Elephas maximus indicus: one gene and its partner. The protein of the gene in region 2 interacts with the protein of the main gene of each other region in a pairwise test. Links are inferred from orthologs where the notes say so. Each region holds a gene or a part of one and is shown on either strand. Other genes may lie near its edges.

Region 1 (3,745 bases), on a different chromosome or scaffold from region 2:
CGATGGGCTCAAGCATAACAAGATCGTGAGGATGGCACAGGACCAAGCGGTGCTTTGTTCTGTTGTACATAGCGTCGCTATGAGTTGGAACTGACTCATCTGCACCTAACAACAATGTCCTGGTGGCACAATGGTTAAGCGTTCGGCTGCAAACCATAAGGTTGATGGTTGGAACCCACCCAGCAGCTCCACAGGAGAAAAGACCTGGCAATCTGCTCAGGTAAAGATTACAACCTAGGAAACCCTATGAAGCAGTTCTACTCTGTCATATAGGGTTGGAATCGACTCAACTGCACACGACAACTGTCTGCTAGCAGGAATCCTTGTCCTAGCCCCAGGACCTAGGAGTCCTTGTCCCTAACCACACCTCCAAGGACTCCCTACATCCACTTCTCCACATCTCAGGAGTTCCAGCTCCCACCTAGTATCTAGGCCCCCAGGCCCCCAGCACTCAGGAGTCCTGGCCCCCATCCAGATGTGTGCTAGAGCCAGCTGATCCCAGGTGACAAAAGCTCATTGTGCACATCCCCTCCAAACTTCTAATTCAGTGACGTCACATCTATAGCTTGAAATCTGCAGTGAAGGGACTATTTATACCAGGGAAATTGGCAAATGCTACAAGTGAGTCCTCCCCATCCCTGGGAGCCTGTTGTTAAATATCTACCAGCACACCACTGCACCAGCTCTCCTTTTGTCCAAGGTCTGCCTGGAACATGACTGCATGCCCAGGCTGCATTGGGGCTGGGCCCTAAGCCTCAGGCCCAACTCCTCCCAGTCTCCATTTCCAGCCCTCCATCCCTGATAGGAGCAGGCACCCAGCTCTGCACAGCTCAGGAGCCTCGTCGGAGTGTGGAGCTACATGGATTAAGGTGTGGCTGTGGGCAACTCACTTTAACTGAGCCTCGATTTCCTCATCTGGAGTGTGGAGATCAGTCTAAGAGCACAGACCTTAACATCACACTTCTGGGGTTCACATTCAAGTTCAGCCCGTATGACCCTGGGCAAGTCAGGTGACTTCCCTGAGCCTCAGTTTCCTCATCTGTAAGATGGGGATAACAGTAGTTCTGCTTCATGAGGTAATAATGAAGGTAAATGAACTATGCCTATAAAGAGCTTATTTAGCAGAAAGCTTAGTATCAGCTTTGTTGTTATTATCATTGTTACTAATTTCCTACCTCAGAGGACAGTTGTGAGGGGAAAGGAGCCAACATCTAGGCTCAGCGTAGGTTCTGCGTACAGTAGGTGCTCATTTGGTCATTTCCAATGGCTTCAAGGTGCCTCTGACCAGGGTGGAGGCAACTTTCTTTCGGCTCCACCTGGCCATTCCGGCCATCAGGGGGCGCCCCAGCCCCGCCCTCAGCCCCTCCCCCTCACCTGTGCGGGCTGCGCACCTGGCACCGCCTCCGGAAGAGGAGACCCAGGACCGCCGAGACCTCGGTCGGAGCCCGACAGGGGGCTGCGGGTGAGAGCCCAGGTGTCGCCGAGGGCAGGGGCCTTCGAGCCTCGGGCAGGATGGGCCGGGCCGAGTCGGCGCGAGAGGAGGAATGCGGGAGCTGGAGGGGCTGCCGGACTCCTGCCCCTGGGAAGCAGAAGGCTGCCGGGGGAAAGGAAGGCTGGCTGGGCTTCAGATCCTAGGGCCGAGGGCTAGGGGGCTGGGGGGCCCGACGTCTGCGTTGGGACCACCGCGACACCTGGATCCGGCAGGCAGGTGTGAGATTCTGCGCCTGGCGCGGGGAGGAGGGGAGAAACAGGTGTGCGAGCGAGTGTATTAGGGGGAGGGGCTGGGGTCTTCCGGAGGCGGAGGGGTAGTTCCCAGGGAAGTCCCGTGGTGCGGGCCCTCGTGAGTCCCTGAACAGCCCGGCCTGGGCGCCCCAGAGGAGCGGCGGGCTCTGAGTCCCAGGGGCAGGCCGGGAAGTAAACAGAAACCCGGAGTCGTGCCTGCGGCGCGGCCAGCACAACCTGTTACCTCGCCCTGTCTGGGCCTGACGCCTGAGCCCTAGGAAACTGGGGGCCGGGGTGGCACTGCAGAGGGGAGGGCTGGGGCTCAGGATACTTGAGTCCCCAAGGGTAGAGGCCAGAAGGCCTTGGGCCGGCAAAAATTGGGGGCTGGGATGGGAATCCCAGAAAGGGTAGATGCTGGGATCTCTGAGTCTGGAGAGGTGGGGACCAGAACACCCTAGTCCTGAAAAATCAAGATCATGAGAGCCAGGATACCTGGGAGGGCTGGGGGCTGGAGACCAGGACATCAAGTCCTGGGCTTCTGGAAGGGGAGGGGGCTGAGCTATTGGTGGGGGATCAGGGCCCCTGAGTTCCCAAAGTGTGGGGTCCTGGATTCCTGGGAGGAGAGGGATCAGATTCCTCTTTGTGTCCTGAGTCCTGAAGAACCAGGGTTCTGGGAAAATGAGCTGAGTTTCCCAGATTGTCAGCGGCTGGAAGCCAGAACAGCTGGGTGCAGGGAACACAGGGGAAGGGGCAGGAACTCCTGGTGGGGTGGCCTCTGGCCCCAAGCACTGGGACAAGTTTTCCTGATGCAAAGAATGTCTGGCACAGGCAAAGACAAGCTGGCTCATTTCTTTCTGCTCCCTGACTCAGTTTACCCTGGGGACTCTAACGAAACCAGGTGGCCAAGACACAGATCATTGACCCCTCTTGGCCCAGGGAGGTCCTGCCTGTAGGGCTGGGAGGGCCAGGTGGCCAGATGGGCAGGTGGAGACTTGAAGGAGGGCCAGGTCTTGGCCAGTGGGGTGTAAGCCCCATCGGGCTGCAGAGTGGAGTATCTTGTGCCCACAGATGCTTCAGGCACCATGAGCTCCCCAGATGGCCCAAGCTTCCCATCGGGGCTGCTCTCAGGGGCCACCTCCCCCAGCGGCAACGAGGGCTTCTTCCCCTTTGAGCTGGAGCGGCGTGGCTTATTCCTGGGAGGGGGCCCCGAGCCCGAGGAACCTGAGGACCTGGCCCTGCAGCTACAGCGGAAGGAGAAGGACCTGGTGCTGGCCGCCGAACTCGGCAAGATGCTCCTAGAGCGGAATGAGGAGCTGCAGCAGCAGCTGGAGATGCTGAGTGCCCAACACTCGGAGCGTGAGGAAGTAAGCTGGCTGTCAGGGACCTGGGCCAAGGGTCAGGGAGCAGGATGGGCAGAGGGAGGACAGGTGGCCAGAGGTGTAGAGGGGAAGGGGGCCAGGCAAAAGGAGGACAGGTGGGCGGAGTGCAGGTGAGCAGGGGACAGGCAGGTGAGTGGGGGGAGAACATTGGGTAGGGGAAGACGATCAGGCAGGAGTGGGGAAGAGAGGGGGCTAGGTAAAGGGGAGGCTGGCAGGAGGCAGGCAGGTGAGCAGGTAGCAGGCAGGTGGGAAGGGGGAGGACAGCTGGGTAGGGGAGGATAACCAGGCAGGAGAAGGACTGGCAGACAGGTGTGGCCAGGTGAAGGGACCAGACAAAGGGGAGGACAGACTGTTAGGATGCAGGCAGGTGGGCAAGTGCACTGAGGGATGACAGCCAGGTAGAAGGACACCTCTGGACCAGTTTCCAGCTGGGCCTTGTCCCCTCAGTATTGTGGCCCAATGGTCCAGAGCATGGGCTCTGAGGACAAGTCAAGGCTTGGCTGTGTGGCGTGGACAAGCTGCTGGCCCTCTCTGAATCGTGGGACCTGAGTTACCTGGCCCTGGGCTCAGCACTGGTCAGGACCCATCTCAGCTCACTCTCACCCAGCCTATGACGGAAGAGCTGCTCTCAGCCTGGGCTCTGT
Region 2 (3,745 bases):
CGGTCCAGCTGATTCCTACTCACAGCAATCCCATGTGACACAGTAGAACAGCCCCTTAGGGTTTTCTTGGCTGTAATCTTTACATGAACAGATCCCCAGATTAAAATAATATAAATGAATGTAATATGCTATAATAACATAATAGAATTATGATATGTGATACCCACACCCATCGCTGTCGAGTCAATCCCGACTCATAGCGACCCTACAGGATAGAGTAGAACTGCCCCATAGGGTTTCCAAAGAGCGGCTGGTGGATTTGAACTGCCGATCTTTTGGTTAGCAGCCGAGTTCTTAACAACTAGGCCACTAGAGCTCCAATATGTGATACAACATATAATATAAAATCATTTTTAGCCCCTGAAATATTTTCTGAACAAAATCAAGCAGGGAAATGAGCTAGTATCTTGATGGAGGGTGTAATTTAGATGCGGTGGTCAGGGAAGTCCTCTCGGAGGAGGCAGCCTTTGGGAAGAGCCCTGATGACGACGAGATCTGTAGGAAGATCTGTAGGAAGAGAGACCAAGCTCTCGAGGTTGGCATAGCAAGAGGGCCATGGTTTTGGGATCCAAAGTTTCCAAGATTCCAAGTTTCCAGGACTCGAGCTCTGCCGCGACTCCGGTTTCCAGGCCACCAGGTGCTGGAATCATCCTTAGATTCGACGCACCTTAGAGGCCCTGGGCCGGGCAGCAGAGGTTCCTCGACTCCCGCCGCCAGGCCTCGGCCGGAGGCTTTCCGCGGCGAGGGGCGGGGCCGGCTCACCTGTGTGGGCGGGGCCCCTTGGCCGCCCCGCCCCCGGAGGCGCAGCCTGTGGCCCGAGACTCTGGGATCAGCTCCGAGCGGCCGGGCTGGGGGTGGTCGGGGAGCGGGGCGGCGTAGCTGGTGCCGGAGCCTCCGAGGTCAGGTAAGCCCCAGGGACCGGCCAGGGGTCCCAGGGGCCAGGTGATGGGGGCGGGGGCCGAGGGAGGAGCCTCGGGCCAGGAGTACCCCTGGGCCCGCTCACCTGGCCACCAGGAAGGGCCTTGGGGCCCCTGGGCGCCCCCTTTCCAGGCCGGGGTTCCCGGGGATCTGGGGGCCTCGCTGGGGCCGCGCCCCCTCTCCCGCGCGTAGGTAAACAGGAGCGAGGACGGGGCGGGGCCTGGGGGAGGGGGGAGGAAGGGGGCCCTTGTGACGGGCGCAGGGAGGGAGGGATCCCTGGGTGCGGGGTACGGGGTGCGGGGCTGGGCCGGCGGCCAGGGGTAAGCGTACGCGGTGGGGGGAGTATGATGGGAACCTCCTCCCTGCCTACCTGCGTGTATGCGTGCGTGTGTGTGTGTGTGTGTGAGGGATGGTGTGAGAGGCTCTGGTGTGTACGAGTGTGTGTGATGGTGTAAGGCTGTGGGTATGGATGTGAAAGGGTGCTGGTCTCTGTGTGTCACTCCGTGAGGGACCTAAGGGCCTGTGTGTGGGGCAGTGTCAGCGAGGTGAAAAAGTGAGCAAGCTTTTGACTGTGTGCACCTGTGAGTTGGATTGTTTGCAGGACTTTGTGTATGTGATTGCAAGGTTGTGTGACTGTGGCCAACTTTCTGCTTGTGGATGATGTGTGTGTGGGAGAGTTGGGCTGTTTCTGGGACTTTACGTCAGGACAAAAGATATGAGACTTAGGAGACCATTGGCAGCTAGTGGTTGTGTGTCCCTGCATGAAGCTGTGCGTATAATGGGGAGTCCAACTGTTTCTAGGCTTATGTGTGTGATCAAGAGCGTAGCTGTGGTTACCTTTCTGCCTGAGCCATGGTGTGTGCGTGTGTCCATAGGACTGCGTGAGTGATAACGTGCCTGCAGTTGACTCTGTGTGCCTCTGTGAGGGTGCATGTGGCTGTGTGACTGTGTCAGGGAGCTGGGATGTGTGCTGGGGAGGTGGGTGTGAGGCCACGACTTTAGAGAGGGACTGAGGGGGTTGACCGTGACTGGCTGAGCTGCTCTGACCAGGCGGGACGTGCAGTGAAAGCTTGCCTGTTATGGGGGGCTGGTTGAGTGTAGGAGAAGGGCGCTGGAGGAAGGGATGTCCGAGTGATGTGTGCCTGGGATTATCCCCCAGCCATTCTGTGGGATGACAGAGAAGAAGAGGGCGTGTGTGTCCGGGTCGATGTGTGAGGTGACTGTGGATCTCATCCTGTCACGACGTGCCTCTGCACAGGAGACTGTGCAGATGAAAGGGGTCCGCTGCTCTGGGAATGGAGGAGCCTGGGAGATGGTGTGTGTTAGGAGGCTGCCCGAGCCTTGTGTGACTGTGGGAGGGCTGGGTGGTCAGACTGGCTGAGGTGGCGTGTGACCTTGGGGGAGGTTGTGTCTGATGGCAAAATTGTGTGAATAATGGTTGTGGTTGTTGGGATGACTGTTGATGAGCTTGTGTGATTGTGAGTTCCACTATGGCTTGTGTGTGAGGTATGAGATTTTATATATATATATATACACACACACAGTAACACCTGTGAAAGATGGAGCCTGTGTCAGGCAGAAATCTGTCAGAGAAGGAAAACTAAAATATTTCCCACTAATAGAGAGCGATAGAGAAGCGGTAAGACGGCACCCTGTCAAAGGCAGAAAACTTACAAGACCTGGAAAAGCAGGGCAGTCCCACGGAGTTCCAGCTCTCACAGGTTTCACACACACACATCTCACACACACACACATACATATACACATATACATATGCATGTATGGAGCCTCTCGGTGGCTCAAATGGTTAAAGGCTCGGCTACTAGTTGAAAGACTGGTGGTTTGAGCCCACCCAGAAGCCCCTTGGAAGGCAGGCCTGGCGATTCGCTTCTGAAAGGTCACAGCCTGAAAACCCTATGAAGCGGTTTCTTCTCTGCACCCATGGGGTCGCCGTGAGTCAGAACTGACTTGATAATAACTAACAACAACAATATGTGTGTATATGAAAGGGGGAGAGAGAGACTGAGGTTAATGGCGATCAACAGTCGGTTGTACAGTCCACAGGATTCCATTCACGCCCTTTCTGTATGTATCTACCAACCAGTTGCAGGCAAGTCGATTCCGGCTCATGGAGACCCCATGTATGTCAGAGCAGAACTGTGCTCCATAGAATTTTCAGTGGCTGATTTTTTCTGAAAGCAAATCACCAGGCCTTTCTTCTGAGGCATCTCTGGGTGGACTCGAACTGCTAACCTTTGTTAGCAGCCAAGTGCACTAACCGTTTGCACCACCCAAGGACTCCTGTATGCGTCTAAGTGTGCTTGATCATGAGTGTGCTAAGAGGTGCTAAACCCCTGGGCTGCTCATGGTGGACACAGTGGCTTCAGTGAAGTGTACCTGAGAGGATGGGTGTGAAAATCGGGGAACTGCCTTCTCTGTGCAGCCACAGGTGTCTGCGCTGTGGGCACCGCTTCCGGCAGGGTAACTGAGTCTGGGAGGACTCCCTTGTGTTTGAAGCTCTCTGTGTGTGTCTGTGGGTATGCAGTGTGTAGGTGTGTGAGTGTGTGGCTGTCCAGGCAAGGACGTGAGGGAGCATTTGGGGAAGATGGTGACAGGTTCACAGTGACTCCTGGGAGGCGCTGCGGAGGTAGTGGGGAGTTGGCGGCTTGCAGGCTGTGTGAGCGTGCGGGAGTGTGTATGTCGTTGGGACAAGCAGAGAGATCAGGAGACGGTCTAAATCTGAGGGATTTGCTTATACTTTCTGAGGCGAGGGAGCTAAGGGGAGGAGAGAGTTAGTTTCCGTGTGGGTTGGCTGTTACTCCAGAGA

Evidence for each region. The genes of interacting proteins can lie anywhere in the genome.
Region 1: the proteins of KLC3 (region 2) and BICDL2 interact in binary tests that used the Homo sapiens proteins (3 or more experiments, as listed by UniProt). The two-hybrid records come from large-scale screens. The link is inferred for Elephas maximus indicus from reciprocal best matches to the Homo sapiens genes KLC3 and BICDL2.

Annotation. Positions count from the first base shown.
Region 1 is NC_064830.1:60,098,117-60,101,861, reverse strand, and holds the start of BICDL2 (BICD family-like cargo adapter 2), read left to right. Parts: upstream 1-1,466; 5' UTR 1,467-1,544; coding exon 1,545-1,708; intron 1,709-2,767; coding exon 2,768-3,086; intron 3,087-3,745. Other genes in the region: proline-rich proteoglycan 2-like, read left to right, coding at 1,275-1,466.
Region 2 is NC_064829.1:104,373,880-104,377,624, reverse strand, and holds the start of KLC3 (kinesin light chain 3), read left to right. Parts: upstream 1-790; 5' UTR 791-904; intron 905-3,745. UniProt on the Homo sapiens protein: Kinesin is a microtubule-associated force-producing protein that may play a role in organelle transport. Plays a role during spermiogenesis in the development of the sperm tail midpiece and in the normal function of spermatozoa.